7 linked regions of the Cricetulus griseus genome follow. The protein of the gene in region 5 interacts with the protein of the main gene of each other region in a pairwise test. Links are inferred from orthologs where the notes say so. Each region holds a gene or a part of one and is shown on either strand. Other genes may lie near its edges.

Region 1 (3,762 bases), on a different chromosome or scaffold from region 5:
AGGGAGGCTGCCTAGCTGGCTCACTTCCCATGCCAGCACTCCGTGCATAGCTGCAAGTTTGCAGTGGCCACTTGGCACTGAGTACAGGAAGGTCTTCCATGCATTCCAGCTGGGTCCATGCTGCCAGCCACATGCCTGGATGGGTGTGTTTTGGGGGTGTGCTTGACCTAAAAGCACAACACCCCTGTGACTACGCTTCTCCCCCGTGTGATCCTTTTTCACCCTTCTGTGAATTGTGTAACCTCTTGTGGTCTGTGCGTGAGGCAGCCCGCCACCGTGGGAACGGAACATCTGCTGGGCCCTTTTCTCCCTCCTCACCCGCCACACATTATAGAACAGGTCCTGTGTGGCAGCTGGGGCTCTATCCTAGAAGCTGCTGGTTTGGAACCAATTTGGTCCCATAACATATGACACAAGAAACATCTGGGAACATAGCAGGAGAAAACTAGGGCCAGTCCCTCCCAGCAGGGGCACGCTGATCACAGTTGGCCACTACATTTGGAAAAAAAGAAAAAGAAAAAAAAAGTTGCTTCTGGTATCTTTGCTGGCCACCAGCAAAGGCCATTCCTCCATGCAGGTTCCCCTCCCTGTTCACCTGCACTGCGCTGAGTGTGGGAACCACCTTCTACCCTCTGCCAACCCGATGGTCTAACACCTCAACATCTGGGACAGGCTACACTGCCAGTAAAACCACTTTGTGTCCCTATGGCACAGAGTTCCTTCCACCAGTGATGTACGAGGCACACGGGGGATACTCTGTAGACACTAGCCAGACAGGAAAGCAGGGAGACAGAAGCGGGGGAGAACAGGTCTGCAGGAATGCACACACTACTGACCTGCATCCATGCTGTGGCTCATCTGGTGGTCACTAGTTTCTCCATCTTCACTCAGGTAGCCAGGGGGTGGGGTTTCTGGAGATGAGAAGGCAGGCAGCTCCATTAAAAGAAATGCAAGGCCTGGCCCTGACATTCCATTTGTTGGCCAATATATCCTGCATTCATTCCACCACCAAGTACAGGGTGCCTAGAAGGAACCTGGGCCTTAAGGGAAGGTATCAGCTCCTGGCCTCGGCCATGCTCAGACTTGTCCAGTGTTGCCTTCTGGCTCCTAACCTGGATCCTAACACACTGACTCCTAACTCTGAAATGCCTTGCTCTAGGACTACAGCTTAGCTGGCTTGTCCCCATCCTTCAAGGTCAGGTTAAGAAGGGAGGCTTTAGGACATGCCTGCCTTACCATCTCTGCCCCCTGAGGAGCTGTGGCCTTGAGCCTGTCCCTGTACAGATCGGCTGCTCTTGTCACTGTCGTCTCTAGGGGATGTGGCTTAACTCCCTAGTGAAGTTGCCATTCAGTGGTGGCACACTCATGAGCCGTTTCTTGGAACTGTACTTCACCCTCCCACCCTGCCTTAGCCCTCCAAAGTCTGCCATCTGACAGAGAGCAAACAGCTTACCCCCCCCCAAGCCCCCAAGAGCCCAGTACTACCTGTGAGTATCTGAGAAGCCAGACAGCTGGCCTCAGCGTGCATGCGTCCTGACCCAAGACACGGGCCACAGCTAACCTCAGCCCAGTAAGCCAACCCAGAAAGCGAAAGCCACATCCAAATTAGAACGCTCTAAAAGGAACACAGCTGGATCACTGCCCCGAAAGCAAAAATTGCCCTGACTGGCCCTAGCGTGGCCAAGCACAGCTTCCCTGGATGCCCAGAGTGCCTGGCAGTGATTCACACATTATTTGCATGTAAATGAGGGGCTTCTAGAAGCACTGGCACAGTGACAATGAAATCCATTCTATCTACTGCCTCAGCTCCACTATGCCCAGTCCAAAGCTCAGGGTACTCCTCACCCCATGCTCTGCAGCCCCTCCCCTTCAGGGACCCCGCCTGTGTGCCAGCCCTATGGGCTGGGAGGGAGAGCAGAAACACAGTGTTGCTATTTCCGCTTTGAAAATAAATGACGGCACTGAGGCCCCGCAGAAGGGTCACAGGGTCCTTCATGCCAAGAAAAACATCGTTAGGGGAGCTTGGGCCACCAATGGTTCCCGGCTGGGATGTGGTTCAGAATCAGGGCCCACGAGCCTGCTGCATGAACAACGACATGGAGAGGATGGGGAAATGGCATCATCCCTGCCTCCTGGCTGCCTGTGCTGCCACCCATGCCTACCTGGAATATTGCTTTGGGGCTCAATGCCAGCGGGGAAGTTAGTGTTCTCAGGGATGGAATGGCTGTAGTCATCCAGCGGGGGGAACTCGGCCGGGATCTCGGTGTGGCGTGGCACCAACACTGGAGGTAGAACTGTCCCCAAGGGAGACACAACAGAGGTGGGTCAGTGCCAGGGGACCGAAGTCACAGTCCCAGTGGCACTTTAGACCCTCCAGAGTCAGTGGGATGGGGAAGGCAAGGCTGCACACACATACCTGGTGTCTCTACTCTCTGATAGTGGTACGGATTGACGCACACTTCGTCCTTCTTCATGTTAAAGGCAAACTCACATAGCTCCATGGCCCGTAACTCATGGTGACTGTGCAGGTCAGGCCATCGCCACAGGCGGCAGTAGATAACATGGGGAAGCCCCTTCCGATGGGACACTTGCAGCCGGCCATCCAGTGACCTGCCATGGCAAAGAAGGGACAGAAGGTGTCAGTGAAGTAGGTTTGGACTGCTGTCTCCCATGTCCAACCACCAGCAGCTCCTTGGGAGTTCAAGTTTGCTGGCAGATACTCTCAAGTTCATTCCTCCCCCAGACACCAGAGACCAAGAAATCAAAGTACCACTGTCCTGTCCCAGCTCCCAAGAAGCAAGGAGGTCCTCCAAGGAAGGCCAAGGCTTCCCAGCTAGAAGAGAGACCTTGCATCCAATAGACCCCAGAGTTCTCCCAGCAGCAGCTCTCAAGGAAGGGAACCTGCTTGAAATACACTCAAACAGGTACACATGACACCAGTCTTGCCCCTGTAGAGGCAACCACTGGACAGGGTGAAGGCTAAGTACAAGACTACAGTAGGAAGCTAGATAGCAGGTACAGCTGATCTGATGAGGAGTCTGACTTTTCTGTAAAAGCAGTAAATGGCCTCTAAGATGTTTATGTGGGCTGTGTTCATGCACAGGAGTGAAAAAGTCAAGTGCTGTGATAAGTCTGGCTGCAGGTGGCCCACAGGTTGGGAGGGTGGGGTGGCAAGTATAGAGTAATGCAGGCAGGGCTGCCCCTTCCACAAGAAGGCTTGGCCTAGGAGCCCTGGGTTAGGAACATGATGTTTCTAGTAGCTGGGTCAAGCTAGCAGAGAGCCATTGAAAACTGACCTTCTGTCCCTAGGGCACCTATGGGTCTGAATCCAACAGATTATATAAGTGCTTTATAAGAGAAGGGCTGGCCACATGTGCCAACCAGAGCCAAAGAGGGTCCAACCAATCTCCAATCCACTGGCCTGGACTGGGAGGGACAGAGGTCAGTGCTGGGCTTGGTCACAGGGGCTGACTGAGAGCTGCTGACTAAGGGCATGTGGAAGGATGTAATTACCTCCCTCCCATGAGGCCCAGACCAAGGAGCCCCTACAGCTGAAAACAGTAATTACTGAGCCGAACAAGAGAGGACAGTCTGAGACTAGTCCTGGAGACACACAAGGAAGTCAGCCAGATGTGCAGTCACAGGACCTGAAGATGTGGCTCATGCTTCTGACTAGGCAGCCCTGGGTCCCAGGACCCTCAACTGCTGCATCTGTAAAATGGGGACAGTCTCCCTGTTGCCTAAACTCTACTGGAAACCACT
Region 2 (3,762 bases), on a different chromosome or scaffold from region 5:
ATTCACTCCAAAGAATAATGTTAGGCAGCCACCCAAAAGATGAGAGGCCACAGAAACTTCATGGCGGTCCTGAAGCCCCCGAATCTACAGAGTTTGAACAATAACTGCTGGATTTGAGGTAACACTCAACCTCAAAGGGAGCTTCTGAACTCCCCACAAAGGTGTAATGAGGCAGCTCAGAATGCCTGCAGGCAGCTACATCTTATCAGGAAAGCTGAAGCTCCATGCAACAGTGCTTCCCCTTTAATGACCAGGCCATGTTAAGGACTATGGCTCAAACTAAAATACAATTGCATTATGTCCTAAAACATACCTTCATACTCAGAGAGCACTCTCTTGATTAAATACAGGTTAGTTCTATAGTAAACCATTTTTCCTTACTGCTACTGGATTGTTAATCACAAATTCATATAACGTCAAAATCCTAGGTTCTGAACTTCAGAGGGAGAAAAAAAGGCTTTGTATATATTTCTTTCCAAAGAAAATGAGCCCAAAGTATGAACCTACTTCCATCTGTAGGGTAAGCACCAGAAACATCCACCAAAACTGCCTGGGTGGCAGGGCCAGAAGAAAAGGCAGTCTGAGCCTAGAAAAGAAAATATTTACATATACTTAAATGATTTACAAGTTAAATCTAGATAGAATTTCCCAAAAGAAATGAACAATTGAAGCTTTACTCAAAGTTTCATTTTAAATACTTCAGCAACCATTTATTTTCCAAAGGAAATCTATAAATAAAAAAAAATGTATCTTTTTTATAGTCAGTGCTTCACAGTATTCTGCAAATAAATCCACTGTATGTGCTTTCTCTATTGGTATTTGAGATGAAGCCTGATGTAGCCCAGGCTAGCATCAAACTCCCCATTTAGCTGAGTACTGCATTACCATCAACTCCTGATCCTCCTGCCTCCTCCACCTCTGAAGTGCTAGGTTTACAGGCATGTGCTACTATGCTCATTTATTTCATGCTGGGGTTGGACTGAATACCGGCCTTCACGCATAACAGACAGGCCCAGGCTATAAAGAGCTCGGAATTGAAAATGGTTCTAGGAGTATGTGGCACTGAAAGCCACGGCTTAACGGCTATTGCAAAATAATTTACGGAATATGAACTGCCAGTTCACTGCTGTGGTGCAAAGGGCCAGAAGACAAGAAGGAATGTAACATTCCTCTGTAACTTCTTGCCAGGGCATCTCAAGCAGTCACCCACCCTAGATAATGAAGCACAACAACTAGCCCAAAAGGCTGGACTAAGAGTGTTTTGAAATCTAACCAGAACAGAAGAGCCATACCCCACCTCTGCCCAGCCCTGTTCCATCTGCCAGTAGCTAGCTCTCTGCCCTGAACACTGAAGGTCCTTGAAAGGAATCCACTTCTCTTAAAGGGGCCAGCTGACGTAAACTGAAGGCCAGGAAAACATCTGTCAAAATCAACTGCCTTCTGTATTTCCACAGTGAAAACCCTCTACTAAAAGCCAACTGTGGTTAACTTAAGTTCAATTCCATACTCAGCTACTAAAGAATAACATGGACAAAGATCATTTTTTGCAATCTGTATGTTAATCCTTAATGTACTAATGTAATATTGATTGATTTTAGGCCAAGTATTTCAGATAAAAGCTTTATGAAAAGAGAGCATGTTCAGATGAACTTTGTGAAAATTACCACAGGAGGGGCAAAACTTAACACCACAGAAAAGGCAGACATTTAAAAATGACTAACCATGCCCCTCATAGCTTAGAAGCATCCCTCCTTGGCAGCTCACTGCACACTTCAGATGCTAAAAGCTACATGTAATATCCTTCCTAGACTGAGGCTGGAAAAAAACTGTCCTTGGAGCAATTTCCCCACCTAGTGCCACTGCATCAGTCCCTGGGACACCTGAGCTACTATTACTACCTGGTTCACTCTCCTTTCACCCCAGAATGGTATCAAGAAAAATGTACCAACTTTACACAAAACTATGACTATCTAAAGACTTACATGCATATTATATACTCCAACTTTTATGAGTTATATGCAATTTAGACTGTACTAAGAAAATGAAACATTCTGAAGACTGTAGAAATACTTAAAAGAAATACTATCTGGCTGGAGAGTGGTTCAGGGGTTAAGCTGTAGAAAGTATAGTGTTCGTAAAGCAGACCCAAGTTCAGTTCCCAGCACTGGAGCCTATGGAACCTGGCTGTTCACAACCATCTGTAACTCCAGCTCCAGAGAGACCTCTTCTGGTCTCACAGGAGTCTACACGCATGTGTCCATGGCATACACATGCATGCATGGGCTAACAAATATACAGAGAGAAAAAAGAATTTCTAGTCTTCTTGAGAAAGTTTAGTCTACAACAGACTTAGACATAGCAATACACCAACAAATGCATGCTTCCCATTTCATTTCACTAGTGAACATGTTATGAAATAATTCTTAAAATTAAAAGCAAACGTACCTGAATTACTTTGTCTACCTTCAAATCTTCAAGAGATGGATAAAGAGACATTTTTGCAGGTTTTTTCTAAAAGAAGAAAAAAAGTTTTTAATGTCATAGAAATATACACAGTATGTACGGCCAGCAATATGCACATAAACATGGACAGTGCTGTTTAATACAATAAACATGTAAGTTCAAAAGCCATAACAACAGGACTGGTTAAGGCATATCATAGTTGTTAACATTTAATAGTTGTTACCAAACTCCATCTCTGTTCCCATAGCTACCAAACTACATTCATCGTGGATTTTAAACCTTAACAAGAAAGGCTGCCTTAACTTCACAAGTTGTGAATATCAAAGACAAGAGGCATATGACTTTTGCTTAGCTGACACAGTGCCCCTCAGCAAAGCCAGGGTCAGGAAACGGGCCTTTCACAAGATCTATTACCTTCTAACAACTAGAGCCAAGAGCAAACAGTATGCAGTATCAGCATGTATGACAGCACTGGGAGAATACACATACGTACAAGGAAAAACTAACATATGCCATCTGTTTATTTTTTAGCAATGGTTTTATCTTGAGGAAACAGCTCTAAGAAGGAAATTATTACCTTTCATTTTAATATTTCTACGCTGTAACATTTTTTAAGCTACCATAAATAGCTTTTTTGCAACAATTTAAAATTCTCTGTAATATTGCAGACACACATTTTACATTTTGTTTAGACATTCTGAGATAAATACCCAAGACTTCCCACTTAGCCAAATAAAACAGAATGTATCCTAATTGTTAAAAGGTTTTGGCAAATTACTGAGCCAGCCCATCAACCTCCTACTTCCAAATCTATTCCTTATTTCCTGCTCTCCAAAAACAGAGCTGAAGCTCTTAGAAGACAGGATGCTGCTGCGTGTTCAGCAAGGGCAATCAGGGGCACAAAGAGCATCTCAGCCACGCTGGGCCACCATCCTCTCCAACCAGATCCCCACAGGACATGCTTCTCTAGCAGCTTAGCCCAGCTACGCTGAGCAAAAAAGCAACACAGAAAGCCATCAGGCTGGAGCAGGTAGCCCAGACCTTTTCATATGGCTTTGCAACAAATTCTAAATGTGACATGCTATAGTAAACACTACTGGAAGTGCTAAGGAGCACCTCACAAGGTATTGAGAACTATTGGAAGGCAGTTTGTTTCAGTGGTGCACTCTCTCAGTCCTAGTAGTGGCTACTTATTAAAACTAAAACCCCAATAGCAGACATGAGAAGCCCTCATTTGAGTTATTGGCCAGGGCTGTTGTGATGGCTTGAAAGAAAATGGCACTATTAGGAGGTGTGGCT
Region 3 (3,762 bases), on a different chromosome or scaffold from region 5:
ACAAGCCGGAGGGCAAGAGGGAAAGAGCACTATGTGGATGGCACACCTGGGGGTACATTACCCGAGTTTCTTTCTGCAGTCCCCTCTTTTGCAGACCAAGAAAAAACAAAAAAACAAAAAACAAAAAAAACCCTCTTTTATTGCAAGCACAGCCTCAAAGGCACTGGGCAGTTCCCTCACCACCATCTCCCCAGGGTTTCCAGTATTGCTATCCGCACATTCTTGGACTCCTGCAGAGCCTGGAGCCAAAAAAAAGTAAAAATAAAATAAAAAATGCAGGTCCTGGACCAACATGGCTGATGGGAGGCACCAAGCACCCGTGGACACAGCTCTCAGAGTGTGCTATTCACTACATAACAGACTTTCTGCCCTCTGAATAAGCCTCAGTCTTTTACTGCGCGCGCGCGCGCGCGCGCGCGCGTGTGTGTGTGTGTGTGTGTGTGTGTGTGTGTGTGTGTGTGTAAGATTTAAACAGACTGCTTCCAATTATAAAGGAAAAAAGTGAGCAGCTTTGCTCCCTTTGACCCTCACCACCTGAAGGTGGCCAGAAGGTGGTGGCCGCGGGCATGGCTATGAGGGCCTGGGTAGCTATGTTTGGACCAACAGGGCTGCAGAGAACACACTGGGCCACGGAGGTGATCCAGGCTGCGTGGGTGGAGGTGGCTGGCACCGCTGGGCTCTAGGAGGCGGAGGTGGCAGCGAGGCCCACAGCGGGCAGGGCATGGAAAGGCTGACGGCTGCCTTCACTGCAGGGCCCGGACGAGGTAGAGTTTCTCCCCGTGCTCGCTGGTGAAGATGGGGGCCTTCTTGTAGTGCTCCACAAGCTCGTCCATGCTATGGAACCGCCGCTGCCCAATGCAGTAGACGCTGTCCACCAGCTGCACCTTGAAGTGCTTGTTCCTCCCTGACGCTTTGAGAGACACAGAGAAGTCACTGGGCTGGGGAGGAAGCAAACGGGAGTTATCAGCAGGGTAGCACCGTGGAGACCAGGGTCTGCCTGAGCAAGCACTGTGTTCACCCAGAGCAGCACAGTCCTTAGACCGACCTGCAGCCCAGGGCTTTCCAGTTTGCAATCAACCACTCATGAAATTCTGCTTCACATGGATTCGAGGGATAGATGCACCCTCTGACAAGCAGGAACTCATTATAGAGAGAATGACAGCGGGGTCAACCTTGAGGCAGAAGAACCCCGAGATATCCATTTCCCCAAATCATTTCTGACAAATTGGGAATTATTCAAAACGGCTTTCACGCAGGCGGGAAAACCGGAAAACCGGAACTGTTTCTTTCGATTTCTGTTAGAATGTAAACTCTTTTTAAACAATAGATACCGTCAAGGCAGTGGACAGCTTGGGTGTGTTTTAAACAGTTTGCCATGTCCCAGAGATGGCTCCATGGTGGTTCAAGCACAGATTTCAATGAGAAAAGTCTAAAATCTGTGATGAGTTCAGTTCCTTACTGACCTGAGTATATTTTGGCATATGCTAGTATTTTTAGTAAAATCGGCCATTCTGTCCATTTACTGAAAGCCAAAAGGAAGGGCACTGAGTGGAGGTATCAATTGGGTCAATGTTTACTTAATGTGGACTGCATGCCAGGCAGCCCTTGCCCTGCATATGGGCATGTGACTCTTTAAAGGACACCAGTAAGGAGGGCAAGCATGGAGGTCAGTCCATGACTGCAAACTGTGCTACCTTCTATAAAGAAAAAGGGAACTTCATGAGCTCATGAGCTGGGAGACACAATTTTAGCTGTGTGCTTTGTGTGTATGAAGGAGTCGTGCATTTTGTGAAAGTTGTGGGTAAGAGTGAATAGAGATATTAAGCGTGTGTACATCCATGTGTGTGACTCTGTACGAGTAAACAGGTGACTGCTGTGATATATTTGCACACTTGTGATGGAGCCAGGAAAGGCCTCTACAGATAGAGGAGCTGAAACTAAGTTATGGGCAGCAGGATTTTGCAGGCAGTGTGCATGGGACATATTGTAGAGACAGGAGGACTGGTTTTTCTGTGGCACTAAAGAGGTAGTGTGGCTCAGGAGGAAGTGAAGAGACTCACACTCCTGGACCCCTTTTACTTCCACTTACAGTGTTCTTGAACTGTCCTTTGTCCACTGGTTAGCCATTCCCTAAAGGATGTTCTCAAAAGTTCTAACATCCCTCTAAAGCCTGCTTGCCTAGGCAGGATCAGGCTGCACCTCAGGGCTCACCCTGAAGCGGTAAGGCCACACCCATGACAGGACCTTTCAAGTCTGCTCCTGCTTTTTCCATCCCTGGGGACTTGTTGCTTCTCAGGAGCCAGTATCTAGCCCTCTTTTCCATCAGGTCCTCTATGCAAAGGTCACAAAGCCCCATGGCTTATTTGATGGGGTGGGCAAGTACTGCAGACAAGAAGTCCATGCTTGCCATTGGCCATTCTAGGATAGGAGCCTGGGGCAGCAGGCTTGCCCACCAGCCACTGATGCTTTGAGAAAGGAATGACAATTAATAGCAGTTTGAATTTGTTATATTTCCATGCTATGCCCAGGGCTGGATGGCTGGGAGAAGGCCCAGCAAGAGATGGGCCTCAGGGTATAGGTTTTTAGTATCAGGGCCATGCATGAACCCCTGGGTGGGTAAGACACAGAACCTGACCTTTTCTTCAAAGGATTATGGACACTGATGTCACAGGTGAGCATGCCAACAGTCCCCATGGACAACATTTACAACACACAGACCCTTTTATGCTCTAGGAACCCCAGTAATGCTGCAAGTTGCAGATTGCTTTCTTTGGGATCACTGTTCCTGCCTTCTAGTGTCAATATTAAAGATGGTTACTTGAATGTAGTGATATGATATCCCAACCATGGACCTGGTAACCAAGATAGTTACAGTTGGATACAAGTTACAAGTATGCCACCTAGCCTAAATAAACACCATCTACAACAGCTATTATGTTCCCAGACGCCCAAGAATGAGGCAAACTACAGTTTGATGCCTTTTGGGAATATTCAAATTGCTGGCAACACTGGCTAGTGCCTTCTGATGCCAGTATTAAACTTCAATGTAACCAGTAGTATCCCTACCATTGACCTGATAACCATGATAGCTACAGATAGATATAAGTTAGCCTTGGTATTCTCTGTGGCCCACTTGGAAAGTGAGCAACAGGTACTACCCAACAGGCACACACTGTCACAAGCCTAGACACGGGCACTAAGGTCTCCAGGCAGTCATCAGTTTCATACAAGAACACACACAAGTTGTGAGCTATTCAACCGTCTCCCAGTGGTCCCAGGTTCTCTTTGGTGAGGGGGACTATATTTTAGTTCCAGGCTCTGCACTATTAATATTCTGCAAGTACATCTATTCTGAGCTAAGATGGGGCACCCTCCCTGTGTCAGCTTGCCAGGAGCCAGACTACTCTGATGGTTCTTTAACCAACCATGTCAACGAAGCCTTGTTTTCAGGGGCGTTAACTGGGGATGACTGTAGTAGGCATTGATGTGTCTGGTGTTTGTTAATTAATAGGACTTTCCAAACAGGGAAATTTGCTTTTCAGCTGAGATCCTTAATTTGACACCATGACGTGTGTGGGCTTGTTAGGACACAGCAGTAAAATCTTGCATCGGGGAAGGGGATTTTAATTTCATGGGCTTCTTGAGCGGAAACTGTCAAGTCAAGGACATACAATCAACTTATGCTAAGCAGGAGTGCCAGGAGTCTGGAGTGTTCTTAATTCAAATCGAGGAGATGTTCCTCAGGCAACCTGAAAATGAGCT
Region 4 (3,762 bases), on a different chromosome or scaffold from region 5:
TGTTTATTTTTGTTTGGTGTAATACCACTTTCCCCAAAGTCTTTATAGCTGTGCTTGTTCGCTGTAGTAGCAGAGGCACGTTTTGCAAACCATATCCATAGTTACTATCTCATTACTGTATGATGGAGTTGTGCCTGCCTGGAGAATTGCACACTTTCTGCACTGAGCATATGGCCTCTTGCATACAAAGTCTGCCTCTGCTACTTGTTATGCCATCGTGCAACTGACTCCCAGCAGTAAAATTGAGGGCTTGGACCCTCAGTGAGCCTCTGTCATATTGTCTGAAGTAGAGCACATAGCAGAATCTCAAGGACAAGGGACAAATTGTCCATAGCACAGTAACTACCAATTTAGAAAAAAAAAATGTTTCATTATATAAACTCAGAAAGTTATGGTGAGCATTCTTATTGGCTGGAGGGGTGGTGATCTTAAAAGGTTTATATTCTGAGGCCACTAGGACTATGATTATATTATGATCTGCAAAGTAACCAAAGAATATTTGACAGTCAATCATAATTATGTAATGGGAAGACTAAAACACTTTCGGGTTCACCCAGTTTCCTAATCCAGTGATGTAAGGCATAGAATCCATTTATTAGGAATATACAGATAATGGGTGTAGGCATGTACATAACTTTTCAATGTCCTACTTGGATTTTTTAGTGCCATGGACAGCACTTGAAAATTGTCCTGTGTTATTTACCAATGGTGTTTGTGGATATTTAATACAATGTTGTTGCTACTTCTTTCCTTTTGCCTTATATGTTGAAGCAAATTTGAGTTATTAAAATAGACTTACTAAAATCTTTTCTTTGGAACTTTAAAATTGTGAAACAAAGAAAACATAGTTCATTTAATTTTTGTAAATTTAACCTGAATGCTTTTCATTTTTTAAGTAGAATTCCGGTACCATAAAACACATATTTTTTAATTGTAAAATTTATCCTTTTATTTATTTATTTTTTTGATTATTGAATTTTAAAACCCATCTCTTTCTCCTCTCTGCCCTGTGTCAGTCACAAAGCTTCTGCCATATGCATTTGCCTGTTCTGGACAGTTCATACAAATGTAACCATGCACCATGTGGCTTCTTTCATTTAGCAGGCTTCTGGGGCTTTCATCCTTGTTGAAACATGTATCAGTACTTTGCTTGTTTGTGGCTGAATAGAAGTCCACGGTATGACAGTTCCTTCTTGGTTGTCCATCCCTTGTCGACAGACATTTGTTTTCTGCTTGGAGCTCTTACAAATTTTGCTTAAGAACACTCATGGTCAGATTTTTTTTTTTGGGGGGGGTAGCTTATGTTTTATCTTAGGTGATAAACCCAATATTGTAATTACTGGGTCACAAAGTTTCACTGTTTGAGGATGACTATACTGTTTTCCAAAGTGGTTGCACTATTGTTCATTTCTACCAGTGGTGGAAATACTGTAGTTTGAAGCCACAGTATTTGCCAGTGTTTCCCAGTACTTGCCATTTCAGCGGCAGCCATCCCACTGAGTATGAAGTGGTATTTTTTGTGGCTTACATCTACACTTCCTTGACTACAGCTACAGTGTGTTCTGTCTGCTGTAATCATTGTAGACTTAGAGTGTATAACGTTGTTGTCTGTTACTTTGGTAGAAATAAAATGAAATCTAATCTTTTCACATTGAGTTCACAGAGCATCTTTATTTCTACTATCACTTTGATTTTTTTCAAAAGCACTATGACTTGGGAAGATTTTTATCTTGAGGATGAGGAAACTGACCATATTAAAGGGATCTGTCCAAGGACATATCGCTGACAAATGGAGTTGGTTTCCTGGAGCCTAGGTGCTGGCCTCTCATCACTTCCTTACATCATGTTGCCTTGTTGGGAATCTTCCTGGTCCATGTTCAGGACAACTCAGACATTTCCTTTGCTCGCTTACAGTTACAGGCCAGTAGGTCACAAGTCCGTTGCTTCAGGACCTATATTACATTTAAGATTAATGGCTGTGTTGATAGTTTTCCTCATGCGTTATTACTAACCCTTCAACTTTCCTTCACGTTTGCATGAATATTTTTCAGACCTATCCAGCTCACCCCCAGGGCCTTATGGTCAAGAAATGTATGTGTTTCGATCTGAGGAGAGATTCAAATCCCCACCCATTCTGCCCCCTCACCTACTCCAAGTTATTCTTAACAAGGACACTAATATTTCAGTGAGTATCCTGAGCAGGTTGCTAAAGCGTCTGGGGAATCTTAGGACCATTGAGGCCAAACTTCAGGAATCTTGGGGCTGGAATTAGGACCCAGCTTTGTCAAGGCAATGAAATAAGCCATGTGCATGTCAGCAGCACTGTAGAATACTTTTTCCAAGACTGAACTTTAGGTACCAATAGCGGAATTTATAGTTGTTTCTGTTTCTAGTAAAATCAGAACCAAACTATGCTGGAATTAATGTCTACTATGACTTCTAGTCTATCACAAGATAAGGGTACTCTCACTAGGGGTTATACAGAATTCACAACTTTTTATGTAAGTAAATTTTATCTCTATTTTACTTAATTGATGGTTGATTCCCAAACCATCTATACCTGTCAGCAAGGTTTTTGTTTTAATTCTATTAAGGAAAGTTAGCAGATGTTGGGGCTTAGCATTTCACTCTTAGATTTAGGATTTTTCCAGATTTTATGATGTGGGAATACATAATTCATAGGAGACAAAGTGTTACCTATTTAGAGTTCTTAACAGTTCAAAGGAACAGTTAACTTGGTTTTGTCTGCATTTAATCACATTTGTGGGGGGTGGGGCTGTTTTTTCTCCTAGTGTGACCCAGCCTTACTTCCTGAACCCAATCATGTTATGCTGAACCATCTCTATGCGCTGTCCATTAAGGTAAGTGGTGGCCGCGACGCTCCACAGCCTCCCGAGTGGAAGGGTAAGAGTCACACATGCTTTTCGGTGGTAACTTGCTTTCTGCGGCTTTTAAAGCTGCAGTTGACACTGACAGTCAAGTTACAGAAGAGCCGTCTTTTCATACCTCAAGGCTGTTTGATTTTAAACTTCAGTCTCCTTTGAAGCTTCCCCCACCCCTCAGACAGGGTTTCTCTGTGTAATAGCTCTAGCTGTCCTGGAACTTGCTTTGTAGACCAGGCTGGCCTTGAACTCACTGAGATTCACCTGACTCTGCCTCCCAAGTGCTGGGATTAAAGGTGTGCACACCACCACCCATCAAACAAATTATTTGTTTTTGGTTCTGGGCTCAAGCTAGCTGAACTGTCAGTGATGGGGACCTTTCTGCTTCCCAGTGTCTGTGGGTGGCTGGAACCTTTGTACCACCTGTTTACTTAAGTTGGAGTTCAGGTAGTTGGATTCCATGTGCAGAAAATCAGGTATAGCTTCCTTCAACAAGTTCTTGAGTAAGACAGTAGAGCTTCCTAAGATATGGAATCAGCTGCAATGAGATGCCCTGCTTGTGTATACCACACGTTTCTATCGCTTGTATAGTAGATAGGGAGTTGGTTTTACCAGACGTCTATGTTTTTCCCACCCTTTCCCTAGAGTCCTTAGTTTCTCTGTTGCTTTAGTATCTTTGTGGCTTGAATGTTAGCATAAAGGTATGTAGTTCTGTGGCTGGCTAAGCCGGTCCTTGAGGGAACTCCTTGGAGCAGTTGGTGAGCAACAGATTGAGAGGTATCCTTCCTGAGTCTGAGTATATGCAGGCACCTAGGGGACCCCCAGCCATTTCTCTGGAAGCTGCTCAGGTTGCTTAGATGTGCGGTGAGAACAGAACAGG
Region 5 (4,560 bases):
TGGAGAACCTCTTAAAATAAAGGGCAGCAGACTAATACCAGGACAGGCCAAGGGAAGGGTTCTGCCTTGGGGACACCCCCTCCAAAATTAATCAATACCTTTCCCTAATTTAAACCAGATGTCTAGTTCAGGTTGCTGTACTCATTAACCCCATTAGCAATTTCAAAGACTTGGCCATCATCTTCTGGTCACTCAGACAATAAACATACGCAGTTAACCATAGTGGCACACTCAGAATGTGGGTAAACGACAGGACCCACAGTAAAGTCCCTAGGCTAGTGGCTGTGTCAAACCCAGCCTATCCCCAGCTCTCCAAAATCCACCAGTGGCAAGTTGTGTAGTTCTTTTCCAGGAGGAGACTGTAAACTGGGGGAACTGAACAGTCCTAGCAGAGAGAACTGGAGAGTGTTCAGTGTGGTGTCTGCTTACAACAGACAAGCGGTGAGAAACAGAAAGGGTGAAAAGAGCACCTCAGACAGAAAAAGACAATGTTTGTCCGGAAGGATTAGAGGGGGCTGTCGATTGGCTCCTAAAGAGTTAAACTGGGAGCACATTTCATTTGACATTGCTTCAGATTATCACTGACCTAGGAAAACTTTCGGTGAGCTAATGGTTAGGAAATTGAGCGAGCTGGACTAGTAAAGAGAGGTGGGAGGAGGGTCTGAAAAAGGAGGAAAGAGACACAAGTTGGAGCAGCACTTGTGTGATGCCAGGGCATCAGAAATTGAGTCCATCTCTGCTTCAAGCTTTCCATCCCTCACTCAACCAGGTACCTTTCTTTTCCGCACTTAGAACAGCTTTATGCTATCATTGGGGCACAGCCCTGAAACTTCCAACCTGGCATCAGTTTTATTTTATTTTATTTTATTTTATTTTATCTTTAACAACCTATCCTCAGACAACTGAAAGGGGAAAACCATGTTGCGCTCCCGGGCGCGGGAACTGCGAGTATCGGAGTTTGAAAAGCTAGACTGCTCTAGCCTTTTCCCTTCTCTTGAATTCTCATAAGTTCTCCTGGTCCGCAAGGTCAGGGAGCAGTTCCGGAGCTCCTGCAGGTGACTCCCACCCCTACCCCCACCAAGAGCTGAAAGAGACTCGGGACGGGACACTTGGTGCTGGCTTAGCGAGACTGAGAGTGGGTGCGCGCCTGGCCATTGGGAGCCTATGGGACAGATCGAGGTGGCCCTGCTTATTAAGGCTCTGGACTCTCCACTGGCTGTCGTGGAAGCTCCCAGGGCCGGGCGGGCGTGGAGCAGCCGCTCCTGTCCTGCCAGCAGTTGGGAACTGGAAATGAGAGAGCATGGTGGCGCTGAGTGAGCGGGAGTTTTGGAGAGAGTTTGCATGTGGTCAGCTCTGGGCTCCTAAGCCAGCCCCCAGCTCACATTACACTCTATTTATAACCTCTCTGAGCCATTTCCCCCCCGTGAAAGCAGTTCTCTGGGACCACCTTCTTTTGGCTTCCACCTCTCCCACATTTGACATCTGAGCAGCTGCGAGGGAAGCTCCTCCAGGTCCCAGTGTTTATATGTGCAGGAGACTGGCCGCTAAGGCTCTGGACTGGGATTAGCCAGCTCTGCTCAAAGGCGCGACTCTTAGGGAGTGTGTGAGTGTGGGGGGAAAAAAGAGTTCTAGGATTTCCAGTGAAAAGTCACAGAGCTTGGTGGCCTTTGGGACCATCGTGAAGTCTTCTGCCTGGAAGTCCAGACTTGCATGCCATGGAACACCCCCTCTTTGGCTGCCTGCGCAGCCCGCACGCCACAGCACAAGGCTTGCACCCTTTCTCGCAGTCTTCTCTGGCCCTCCATGGAAGATCTGACCACATGTCCTACCCCGAACTCTCCACATCTTCCTCGTCTTGCATAATCGCGGGATACCCCAACGAGGAGAGCATGTTTGCCAGCCAGCATCACAGGGGGCACCACCACCACCACCATCACCACCATCACCACCACCAGCAGCAGCAGCACCAGGCTCTGCAGAGCAACTGGCACCTCCCGCAGATGTCCTCCCCGCCTAGCGCGGCTCGGCACAGCCTGTGCCTGCAGCCCGACTCGGGAGGGCCTCCGGAGCTGGGGAACAGCCCTCCGGTCCTGTGTTCCAACTCATCCAGTCTGGGTTCCAGCACCCCGACCGGGGCCGCGTGCGCACCAGGGGACTATGGCCGCCAAGCGCTGTCACCCGCGGATGTAGAAAAGAGAAGTGGCAGCAAGAGGAAAAGCGACAGCTCAGGTGAGTGCGGGCAGAGCACCTCTAAGGAGAGTGTTCCCTGGGCTGGGAAGGGGCAGGGATTTGCGAGAAGGTTCTCACAGACAAACTAAGGAATACCTAGCTCTTCCAGTCTCAGTGGCCTGGCCGAATTCGTCCTTGCAGCTTCGGCCCTGTAATTTGGGAGCACGTGTTTCGCTGAGGTTAATATATCTACGTCCAGCCCCTTCAAAGCCCTACAAGACCATAAACTAGTTTTCCAGCGGCGGTGAAAAAAGAGCGAGTGACAGTATGCGAAATCGGTTAAGGAGCATGGCGCTCCATCCACGAGTTGGGAGGGGTGTGAGCCTTGGGATGTTGCATCGGCTGGGCGTTCATGCCTGTGTGCATGCATGCGCTTCTTGGTTTTTCCCTTACAATTTCCCAATTCTGAACAGCTCGAGTTTTCCCATCCTTAACTGGATTTCTAGACTATTGCTCAATATCTTGAACTTTAACTGGGATTTGACAAAATACTCGAAAGAAAAGTTTTATTTTTTTCTTTTTTTAACGTTTCGCTTTCAGAGTTCCGTAAATAGCATTCTACTTAAAATAGTAATAATTTTAAAAAGCATTTAACTTATTTGCCGAAAAAGGCACTATCTAGAAATCTAGAAGTATTCAAGAAATACATCTAAAAATCGTGAATAAATAAATGGATGAGGATTTGAAGAAAGGTCATTCTTGATTAGACTCAGGTGAGGCTATCCTATGGGAAAAAAACAAACAAAAACAAAACAAACAAAAAAATCCCTGAACTTCGAAAGTGGAAAGTAAAAGCCTTCCTTGTTTGAGTAGAGTTTTGAGATGCTCCGGAGAGCACAAGAGCAGCTCGGACAGTGGTGGGAGAAGATGCAGCAGAGTGAACAGCGAAAGTGTGGATTACTTGAGCAGCTAAAGCAAAGGTTTCTCCCCAGTGGTTTCCAGGGCCTGAAAGTTCAGTAGCAAGTGCATTGTGGCAGTTCAGAGAAACTGAGTTTCTAGACAGCACATAACGCCCTTAGCTATAGTTCTCATTATTAAGATGTTTCTCTTTTTCTTCTCCTTCTTCATCCCCTCCTCCTCCTCCTTTTTAATTGCATCTTGCTCTGAAGGAACATGGCAACCTGGGTACATACTTTGGAAGATGTCACTTAACTAAAAAAAAAAAAAGTTTGCATCTATTTAATCTTTTGTGTTAGTCTATGGAGATTTAGGAAATGTGAATCTGGGCATTGGAAATAATGGAAAAGAATGTAGCATGTTAGGCAATTTAGTCCAGGTGTTCTGCAGTGTATGGCAGTAACTGCTGTGTATTTTAAATCATGTTGAAAAATGACAGAAACTTTTCTTGGCCTCCTTGTGGGGTGACCCTTACCAACCTGATGGTTGAACTTTTATTTTCCTAGGTCGGGGATGACTTTTTAATGCTCCACAATGATTAGCTGTGTCTAAGCAATTTACCAGCACTGTCATTGATTTGCAGTGGTTATCTTTAACTACATAGGAAATTCTAAGCTATTGAAAAGATACCAGTGAAAACGTTAGAATGCACTGGGGTTCCCCAGGCTGGGCATTTATGAACTGGAGTGCTTGGATGGCCTCAGCAGGTTGGTAGCTACCACAGCAAGAGCCAGAAGCACTTTTTCTTTCTGCAAGGGGAAACCATGGCCAGCTTCTTAGCTGAATCAATGCCCTAAAGATTATTTATGCACTCGAAGGAGTTTTTGTTGGGCCACAGTTATTTTTAGTTGCAGAAATGGAGAGTAGGACTAAAAAATTTACATCCTTAAGTTATTTTCATAAAAACCGACTTAAAATTGACTAACAGTCGTTTCCATCACATTTACCGATGGAAAATAACCACACAGCAAAGGGAAGCTTGTTTTCATGTTGTGAATCTCATTTTAGAACATAGAAACAAGCAAACAGAATAGAAATTTGTGTCAACCGGGGGTGTAGTAACGCTTGACAAGAACGGGAAGTATGATCATTAGCAAGGATACTATCATGGGGACCAACGTAGAAAGAATGTTTCCATTGATAGGCCATCACAGGCAAGCATCAGTTGTCTTGGTACACTTTGAAAATAAAATCTATATGTTCAATCTCTGAGTTAACATCGATTAGATCATAGGTAAGTTTAACTCCAAGCCATCTATCGCCTTTTTCAGTGAACATTCAACTGAAGATCAAGTCATCTGATACTCTTGTGTAAACATTTTGACTTACTAGAGGATAAAGTAACATAGAAAATAGTTATAATACTGTTCTTTTATCAACGCATAAGCCTCATTAGGCCCAGCTCGATTATTTCAACATAATTAACAAATGTCT
Region 6 (3,762 bases), on a different chromosome or scaffold from region 5:
TCCAGACCTGTTCTGAGCCGCCCAGGAGTGCTGTAGGAACCCATAGGTTTTACCTAAGCTAATTCAGGATTTGTTTGTTTTGTTTTGTGAGACAGGGTTTCTCTATGTAGCCCTGGCTGTCCTGGAACTCACTCTGTAGACCAGGCTGGCCTTGAACTCACAGAGATCTGCCTGCCTCTGCCTCCTAAGTGTTGGGATTAGAGGCATGTACCACCACCTGGCCAGGATGGGTTTTATCACTAACAAGCCAGGCCAGCCCATCCAGAGCTAGGCCTGCAAACTCTATAAACACTTATAGTTACAGCCTATACTGCCAGCCTCCCAAGGCTCCAGAGTCCTCACCCATTGTGTAGGCCCCGTGGCCTTAGCCAGCTCCTGCCTGTCCGCCTTTTCATTGTCCTGACTGCTCTGGTCTCTGCTTCTCTGGGCCAGCCTCCTTTGTGTGACACATGTGGCTCCCTTCCTTCAGTACTTGCCACTAATAGACCATGGGCAGAGTGTCTCTCCTAAGGCCCATACTTCCTACCCTTCCTTTCCCAATGCCTCTGGTTGCCTGCTCTGCCAGAGACAGCAGGGTAATTGGGTTGAAGAAACGTTTTTTTTAAATTCAGAAAATATTTTTATTTATGATATTGAAAAAATTCAAGTTACAGAGAAAAGAAATGAAGCATCTATAATTTGGAAGGCCGAGGTACACACAGCAGCTCTGCTCTTACAGAGTGGCTGGGGGAGCAGGACTGTTGGAATCTAGCAGCATCCAGGGCCTATGCCTTCCCCCAGGCTCACTGCCTCTGGGTGAGGTGTCTGCCTGGTGGGTCCTTTGCACTCTGGCCCTGGCTATGACCACCAGAAGCTGACTGAGAAGCTCAGGTCCAAGGCGCGCACGTAATGCCAATACTTAGCAGGTATAAAGAGGGTCTCTCCTGGGGACAAGATGCAGGACAGGAATGGGGCCTCAGCAAACTTGGGAAACTTGTCCAGGTCAGGGTTCTCAACATCAACCTGCAAAAGGCAAGAAAAGTCATCTGCTGGTCTCTAGGGACAGCAGGCCCCATGTCACCGATTCCCCATGTGCCCACCTGGCTGGTGTTATGAAGAAGGTGCGTCTCATGAGGATACACTGCCTCGGACTCTTGCGGGGAATACAGCCGGATGTACTTCCTTCCTAACACCTGGGAGACAAGAGACTCATCAGTTTCAGGACAGCAAGGCTGTCCCGCTGACTACAGGCCTGTGGACCTGTCCTTCCAGGCCTTTCTGGTGTTCCGTGTCCTGCTGCCTTGTCCCACATGCTCTGACATTCAGAGAGTGCTCACCTGCAGGTACCTTATAGTTCTGCATGTAGCTAAGCTCAGCCAGGCACTGTGTGTGGACCTGGTTTAATCTCAGGGGTTTCCTCTTCACCTCAGTTGTGAGGAAATTGAGGCAAAGAGGTTGCCCAAGTTTACTAAGGTGACAGCTGGTGGCCATGCCAGGCAGTAGGCTCCTGGGCCTTGGCTCTTAGCTGCTACTGAGCTGCCTTGCAGGGCTGGCCCAATGCTCTGCAAGAATGCTCTCATTTTAAGTCTTTTTAGCAACTCAGTCTGTGACAAGTTCTCACAGCAGTGGCTGTGTGCTGCCTCCCTTGTGACAAACCTCTGATTGAGTCTCTGGGAACATCTGTCCATGGCTGAGAGACCTTGGCCCCATCCACAGGTGCAAGCTAGCAGTGGGAGTGAGGGTGGCTGGCAGGTGACAGAGAGGGCATGGGGCTGCTAGAATATGCCAGGCCCTCCTCCCAAGAGCTTTCCTGTCTGGCCCCAGAGAAATCCCTCTTGGGTGTAGCCTTGACCTGGGAGAAGTCCTACCCCAGGGCCTCAGGACTATTTTTTTGTATGCATTTCTGTCTACATCCTTTTTACTACCCCCCCCCAAACACACACAGTTCTTTGAGACTAGGTCTCAAGACTGGCCTTGAACTGGCTAGGTGGCCAAGGATGGCCTTGAACCTCCCAAGTGCTGGGACTGTGGGTATTTACCACAACAAGCTCCTTACTCAGCTCTGTCTGGCAGCAGTTCCTACCTGGACCAGGAAGTTCTGCTGGGGGTCATGATGCAGTGGGGAGATGGTTCCTTGGGGACCAAACCAGGCATTGATAGTGATCTCTTCCTCTTCCCCGTCACCCAGGCAACAGTAATCAGGAATGCTGATGTCCTGCTTCAACTCTGGGATCTGAGGGTAGTGGCAGAAAGCAGAAGCCAGAGCTAGGTATGCTAGTCAGGACCCAGCTGATATCTGACTACTTGACAGAGCCAAATACATTCCTTGATTCATTGGTTGTTTTGTTTTTGAGACAGTCTCTAAATCTCTCATCCTCTTCTCTCAGCCTCCCAAGTACAGGTATCACAGGTATGTGCCATCCTACCCAGCTTAGGTTCATATTCTAATGAATAAAATCTTAAAATATCAATAATAGATAAAATTATAATCGTGCTTCATATTTGTTTCTTTTTTTTTCTTTCTTTTTCTTTTTCTTTTTTTTTTTTTTTTGGTTTTTTGAGACAAGGTTTCTCTGTGGCTTTGGAGCCTATCCTGGAACTAGATCTTGTAGACCAGGCTGGTCTCGAACTCACAGAGATCTGCCTGCCTCTGCCTCCCAAGGGCTGGGATTAAAGGCGTGCGCCACCAACGCCCGGCTTCATATTTGTTTCTATCACATAGAAAATCACATAGATTTTTTTTTTCTTCTTAAAACCTGGTATTGCTTCTTTATCCCCCCTTCCTCCAAAAGCATCTTGCCATTTACTAACAGTAATGTCTTTTTGTTTTTGAGATGGGCTCATTTTGTAGTCCTGGCTGGCCTGGAACTCATAATGTAGATTAGAATGACCTCGAATTCACAGAACTCCATCTGCTTTAAAGGCACTAGTCATCACATCAATCAAGTGTTAAGTTAAAAACACTATAAAAAGAACCACAGTGTGCTTGTTGATACATAGCTGTAATTTCATCATTTGGAAGGCTTAGGCAGGAGCATGACAGGTTGGAGGTCAGCATGGGTGATATAGTGAGACCTTGTTTCAAAAACAAAACAAAACAAAACAAAAAACAACAACAACAACAAATAACAAGCCCCAAGAGTCAAGTGCACTGGGTACTTTCAGATCTCTGGAGGGGATGGTTTTCAAAAAATTACTACCTGTGAAGAAATCACAACTGGTATATTTTAAATGAATTACTACAAAGACCAGCAAAGTAGGCTGCTTACTAAACCCACTCTGGGAAGGGAGGAGTTAGTGAACAGTGTTCAGAGGCCAGAAAAGAGCTTTAGGACCAAGTACATAAACTTCCCAGCCACCAGAGGACCAAGGCAGGCACTCAAGCGAGTGAGGAAGGGTTTGGGTCTTACTAGCAAGTGAGCAGAATTGACTCTGCAGCACTCCACATTACCCACTTATGATGTAAGCAAAGGCTGAAGACTTGACCTGGTGCAATGGGTCATGACAGGCAGCGGGACCTTGATCCACACAGCAACCTGGTGACCAGTACAAGCCTTCCAGAGCACAGGTGCTGACCCACTGGAAGGGGGCATGTACTGGGCTCCTTTGTGGTGAGTGACTGGGGTCACAGAGGCTGGGGTCTCAGGCACTTGCAGGAGTAGCAGTGAGTACCCTACCACCAGGTGGCATTGGAAAACGCCTCCGTGATGCCCTTTGTTTCTGCCCCTACTTCTCTCCCCAGCCTCCTATACTGTCTTTGAACACTTTACATTCTCATTTCTC
Region 7 (4,370 bases), on a different chromosome or scaffold from region 5:
TGGCTGTGCCTGGCATGTGGTGACATTACCGTTCCTGTTGCATGTGGGATGGGACATAGGGAGGTAGTAAATGACCTTACTAAAACAAGACAATCTCTGAGCTGAGCCAAGAACCCGAGAGCTGACTTTCAGACCATCAGTAATACACAAGGGTCTGCCTCTGGGAAACGGACATGTGACAGAGTATGGAAGTTTTAGAGTTGCTGGTTTAGGGAGTTTCTGAATCTCTTTTATCCTCAGTTCCCCAACTGGAAATCAAAGATGACAGCACTTCCTTGGGAGTTTATGAAGTATACCTGAGATGATCCATTGGAAGTGTGGATGTGGTCCCTGCAATCCCTCTCCTGTGCTATTCACCAGCTAATGGCCACAGTAGAGGAGGAAACCACAATAGGAGGAAATAGTATTCAAGCCCATGAACGCCCACACACGCATCTACTGTTGTGAGTTACAGGTCTTTATTTGTCTAATATCTGAGGTCAGTTTTATGTATTCAGTGGTAAGATCTACTAATGGCGGGAGGCTGCACTTGTGGAATTCAAGTGCATGCTCTGAGAAGCTGCAGTCAGTGTAAAAGCAGTTAGGGAAGTAAGTGACTTGGCTGTGATGAACACATTGTGGCTATTCCTACCATTTCCCTGTGCATAACAAGGTACTGGTCTTGGTGTTGGGCTGTGTCCTCTTCTGTCCTAGTCTTCCTGATTTCCCTTTGTCTCCTCCTCCTCTTTCTTGGCCAAGAAACCTGTGTCTCAGAGCACTGGCAGTCAAAGGTGCTTCCCAAGCATATTGTCCTAGGGTGGCTCTGAGTCACAGAGTGCCCCCGTATATCCTTAGACATCCAGACAGCCAACTCAGCCCTGAGGGCTTGGATGCTGAGATGCAGGCTGGCAGCCTCACAATTTTCAGCCTTGTTTTCTCTTGACTTCCCAGCCTCCTGCTTGTTCCTGGAAGGGTCACCTGGAGTCACGAGTTGATTGGACATGTGGTAGCTGCATGGACTTCTTTGATAAAAATGTAAGACTCAGAATCAGTATATAGTAAATGGAGAGAGTGTAAGAGATCAGAAAGAGAGAGAGAAGGGAGAGCAAGTAGGACTACGAGACACCTGTTAATGGTGCAAGGGGCTGCAGTAATTGTGAGAAAGGGAGTGAGGAAAAGAATGAAGCTAGCAAGGCTAAGTTAGACCAGAGTGAGGGAGAAATGAGGATGCTGTGCCGGCAAGGGGTTTGGAGACCAGGAGAGCAGAGTTGGAAGGTAAGTACCAGTGAATCAGAGCTGACTCCCTGGCACTTGCATCGCATCCCTGCCCACACTCAAACAGAATGAAGACCCCCAAGTAGGCTTCTGGGCCCCTAGATCCTATGCCAAAGCAGTCACTAAGCCCAGCATCTTTGCCTTCTTGCTGAAGTGCTCAGCCACTGCTTCTCTGCATCAGTCCCTCCATCCTGAGTGCTGCCCTGTTCTGGCATCTGCCTTCTAAGCCTCCAGGTCCCATCCTCAACTCCCCCAGTCTTCCCATTAGAATCACCTGATAGGGATAGAGTGCTTACAATTTTGAAGCCCAAGTTTTACCCCAATATCAGTGAAAAATAGTATGTTGAGGAGTGGAGTCCAAACATGATGAGTGTTTTGAAAGATCCCAAGGGGATTTTCATGCACTTCCAAGTTTGGGAGCCACTGATGCCTAAGGCGTCTGCCTAAAGCACAAATTTCAGTCCCACTCCTAAGGACTGAGCTGTGATCACCCCTCCTCTGTGAAATCTCCTCTTGCTCCTAAGTCCCCTGACATGTGACATAGAAAGAATAGTATGCTAGATGTTGGGCTTGCTACCTTACTGAGTGGTTGAGAACCTGAGTGTCAGGACTTTGGATAGGAAAGAAGGGGTGACCAGCAGTTCAAGTACCTCTGTAGGTTATTAGGGTCAAAAGTGGTACCTAGAAGTTCTTACTTCTCAGGTAAATGTTATAGTTCATAGGAGGGAGATGGAGAACAGTTGGTATTTTCTTTTTGTATCCTATAACAGGCTACAGAACATACAGCATATCATGGTCTACATTTTGTAATATGGATTTTTTTTTTAATTAGAGACCATTGACCTAGCTCTGGATTCAAGTAATGACTCTACCCCTTCCTAGCTGTGTGGCTCTGGGCAACTTAGCATCTCCCAGTTAAATATCCTCCTGGGTCCAGTGGGCACAGAATGAGGGAGAGGAATGGTTACATAAGCAGTTATACACCTATCACTTGTTTGCAAGATGAGATGTTTGGGGTCAAAGGGTGCAGCATGAATTCGCATCCGTGATGGAGTTTGGGTGTGGGACTTGAGGTCTATACCACCAGTGGATGCTCACTTTGCTCGTAACTGCTACAAAATTACCATTGATTTTTTTTTCTCTCTCTCCCAGGTAGAGTGCACTCTAGGAAACACTGGCTTGTTCTGGGGTCCCTACAGATAGCATGAGTTCCCCAGGGTTTTTGTTGTTGTTTCTTCCAATGTAACCACAGGATGGATGGCCAGCACTTACGAGATACGGAGGGTCCGAAGGCGACCCCTTCTGAATGTGATGATGGCATTGTGGCAGCAGCGGCTCTCATAGTAGTAGCATTTCATATTGGTGTTGGATGTGCAGCAGCACTTACAGTTGGGGTCATTGGCCCAGGAGCAGCAACACCAGTGACAATTGGGGTTCTCCGCACAGGTGCAGTGGCAGAATTGGCAGTTCCGCTCATCCTTGTAGGGACAGGGGAAGCAGGTACAGTTCCGCTCTGCGGTGAAGATGAACTTGCAGCACAGACAGGAGAATAGCCGAGGGCAGCATCTCTGCCAGGTGCAGCATGGAGAACAAACACACATAGCCGACTCCATGGCTCTAAGATCCTTGGTACTAGGCCTCTAGAGTTTTGACAACTTCCTCTACCAGATTCCTGAGGTCACTTCTCCCTCAGAGGGATCCTTGCCACCTCTAGTGATGCTGGCAGTTTGGGAGTTGTGGCAGGAAGTTGGCCAGTTTAGGAGGCCTTCACAGGTGATGTCCCTCCTAGGAAGCTTCTGAGCTGGCTTTAACCTATTTCAGCCTGTGGACATTTGCTTATGTCATAATCCCTGACTCCCACCATGCCTTAACATGCTAGGTAAGAGGAGGACACCCAGGGGGCAGTATCCAGTATGTGAGTGCATACTGGAAGTTTTCATGCGAGCAACTCCACAGGAATGGTGGCACCCTGAACCTCTTGGAGACATTAGCGGTCATTTGTCACCTTTCAAGTTCTCACACAGATTTCGGCTGTGGCTTTTCCTTGGTAGGTAGGTACTTTTCCTGATATTTGGGTAAGTTGACTTCAGGATTTATCTTTATTGACTGAAAGACCAGGGTCTGACTATTAGAAATCCAGGCCGACATGGTTTTTCTCTTCCATCAACAGAACTCTTTGACAAGCCAAGCACAATATTTACAAATAATGGCAGTGTCACGATCACTCTAAAAAGAAGGAACCGAAGGGACAGAGATGTGGGGTCCCTCAGGAGCTCCCTTCTTTCAGTGGACCCTGCTCATGTTCCTGAGGCATTACACTTAAATCACTCAGATTTGGGTCTTAGGCTTTGTTTCCTCTCCCCTGGACCCTCTGTCCCACTCCATTCCACCCAAGCCCACCCCACTGTATCCATTTATCAAGAGGCTAGGTTACACAATCATTAGCTACTCTGTCAATGTGTACCCAGGAGCCCCAGAAACAGGGCCCTATAGATGGGGGAGAATTTTGCTTTCCTCTTGGTGCAGCTTGCAAAGATGAAAGGAGCAGAGGTTTCATGGCCACACCATCCTAGAACAGGAACACTGTCTCATTAGATTTCCAAAAGATAGCAGAAGTGAGAGCTGAATTTGGCTGCGGGAGTTTTAGTGAATAATTTATTATCTCTTCCCATGATTATCACCTTTGTAATAGGAAAGAACACTCACTGAGTGCTAACTGGGCCAGCCTCACACAGAGCTTAGATCTCTCTGCAGTTGAAAATCCTGAATCCTAGGGTATGCTTTATCTGTTGATAGATCTTATTAAATTATTACTCCAAAGCATACTTCAGATTACACCAGCACCGGGAGTAGGTGCATGACACCTCTGTGTTTGCCCAAATTCAGTGTTGTCAATAAGCTGCCGACACCAGGGGTGCAGAGATCTGAGTTCCATTCACAGGCCATTTCAACATTGGTCTCTATAAGGCTTCCTTCTTTCTCTTTTTAAAAACATTGAGATGTAATTCACTCACCATGAAAGTGAACAAGTCAATGCCTTTTGGTGTATTCATTAAATTACATTAAATTCATTATCTAATCCCAAAACATGTCTGTCTCCCCCAAAAGACACTCAT

Evidence for each region.
Region 1: the proteins of Meox2 (region 5) and Smad3 interact in binary tests that used the Homo sapiens proteins (3 or more experiments, as listed by UniProt). The two-hybrid records come from large-scale screens. The link is inferred for Cricetulus griseus from reciprocal best matches to the Homo sapiens genes MEOX2 and SMAD3.
Region 2: the proteins of Meox2 (region 5) and Sdcbp interact in a two-hybrid assay, tested with the Homo sapiens proteins (2 studies listed by BioGRID and IntAct). The link is inferred for Cricetulus griseus from reciprocal best matches to the Homo sapiens genes MEOX2 and SDCBP.
Region 3: the proteins of Meox2 (region 5) and Nck2 interact in binary tests that used the Homo sapiens proteins (3 or more experiments, as listed by UniProt). The two-hybrid records come from large-scale screens. The link is inferred for Cricetulus griseus from reciprocal best matches to the Homo sapiens genes MEOX2 and NCK2.
Region 4: the proteins of Meox2 (region 5) and Prkab2 interact in binary tests that used the Homo sapiens proteins (3 or more experiments, as listed by UniProt). The link is inferred for Cricetulus griseus from reciprocal best matches to the Homo sapiens genes MEOX2 and PRKAB2.
Region 6: the proteins of Meox2 (region 5) and Kdm8 interact in a two-hybrid assay, tested with the Homo sapiens proteins (2 studies listed by BioGRID). The two-hybrid records come from large-scale screens. The link is inferred for Cricetulus griseus from reciprocal best matches to the Homo sapiens genes MEOX2 and KDM8.
Region 7: the proteins of Meox2 (region 5) and Trim42 interact in binary tests that used the Homo sapiens proteins (3 or more experiments, as listed by UniProt). The two-hybrid records come from large-scale screens. The link is inferred for Cricetulus griseus from reciprocal best matches to the Homo sapiens genes MEOX2 and TRIM42.

Annotation. Positions count from the first base shown.
Region 1 is NC_048597.1:175,186,774-175,190,535, forward strand, and holds part of Smad3 (mothers against decapentaplegic homolog 3), read right to left. Parts: intron 2,611-3,762; coding exon 2,417-2,610; intron 2,295-2,416; coding exon 2,163-2,294; intron 912-2,162; coding exon 837-911; intron 1-836. UniProt on the Homo sapiens protein: Receptor-regulated SMAD (R-SMAD) that is an intracellular signal transducer and transcriptional modulator activated by TGF-beta (transforming growth factor) and activin type 1 receptor kinases.
Region 2 is NC_048595.1:154,149,783-154,153,544, forward strand, and holds part of Sdcbp (syntenin-1), read right to left. Parts: intron 2,512-3,762; 5' UTR 2,497-2,511; coding exon 2,446-2,496; intron 587-2,445; coding exon 508-586; intron 1-507. UniProt on the Homo sapiens protein: Multifunctional adapter protein involved in diverse array of functions including trafficking of transmembrane proteins, neuro and immunomodulation, exosome biogenesis, and tumorigenesis.
Region 3 is NW_023276807.1:4,950,466-4,954,227, forward strand, and holds part of Nck2 (cytoplasmic protein NCK2), read right to left. Parts: intron 939-3,762; coding exon 744-938; 3' UTR 1-743. UniProt on the Homo sapiens protein: Adapter protein which associates with tyrosine-phosphorylated growth factor receptors or their cellular substrates. Maintains low levels of EIF2S1 phosphorylation by promoting its dephosphorylation by PP1.
Region 4 is NW_023276806.1:58,812,261-58,816,022, reverse strand, and holds part of Prkab2 (5'-AMP-activated protein kinase subunit beta-2), read left to right. Parts: intron 1-2,051; coding exon 2,052-2,185; intron 2,186-2,792; coding exon 2,793-2,861; intron 2,862-3,762. UniProt on the Homo sapiens protein: Non-catalytic subunit of AMP-activated protein kinase (AMPK), an energy sensor protein kinase that plays a key role in regulating cellular energy metabolism.
Region 5 is NC_048598.1:164,594,763-164,599,322, reverse strand, and holds the start of Meox2 (homeobox protein MOX-2), read left to right. Parts: upstream 1-1,715; coding exon 1,716-2,229; intron 2,230-4,560. UniProt on the Homo sapiens protein: Mesodermal transcription factor that plays a key role in somitogenesis and somitogenesis and limb muscle differentiation. Required during limb development for normal appendicular muscle formation and for the normal regulation of myogenic genes.
Region 6 is NC_048596.1:75,356,771-75,360,532, forward strand, and holds the end of Kdm8 (bifunctional peptidase and arginyl-hydroxylase JMJD5), read right to left. Parts: intron 2,213-3,762; coding exon 2,063-2,212; intron 1,173-2,062; coding exon 1,080-1,172; intron 1,003-1,079; coding exon 838-1,002; 3' UTR 607-837; downstream 1-606. UniProt on the Homo sapiens protein: Bifunctional enzyme that acts both as an endopeptidase and 2-oxoglutarate-dependent monooxygenase.
Region 7 is NC_048597.1:205,884,768-205,889,137, forward strand, and holds the start of Trim42 (tripartite motif-containing protein 42), read right to left. Parts: upstream 2,868-4,370; coding exon 2,527-2,867; intron 1-2,526.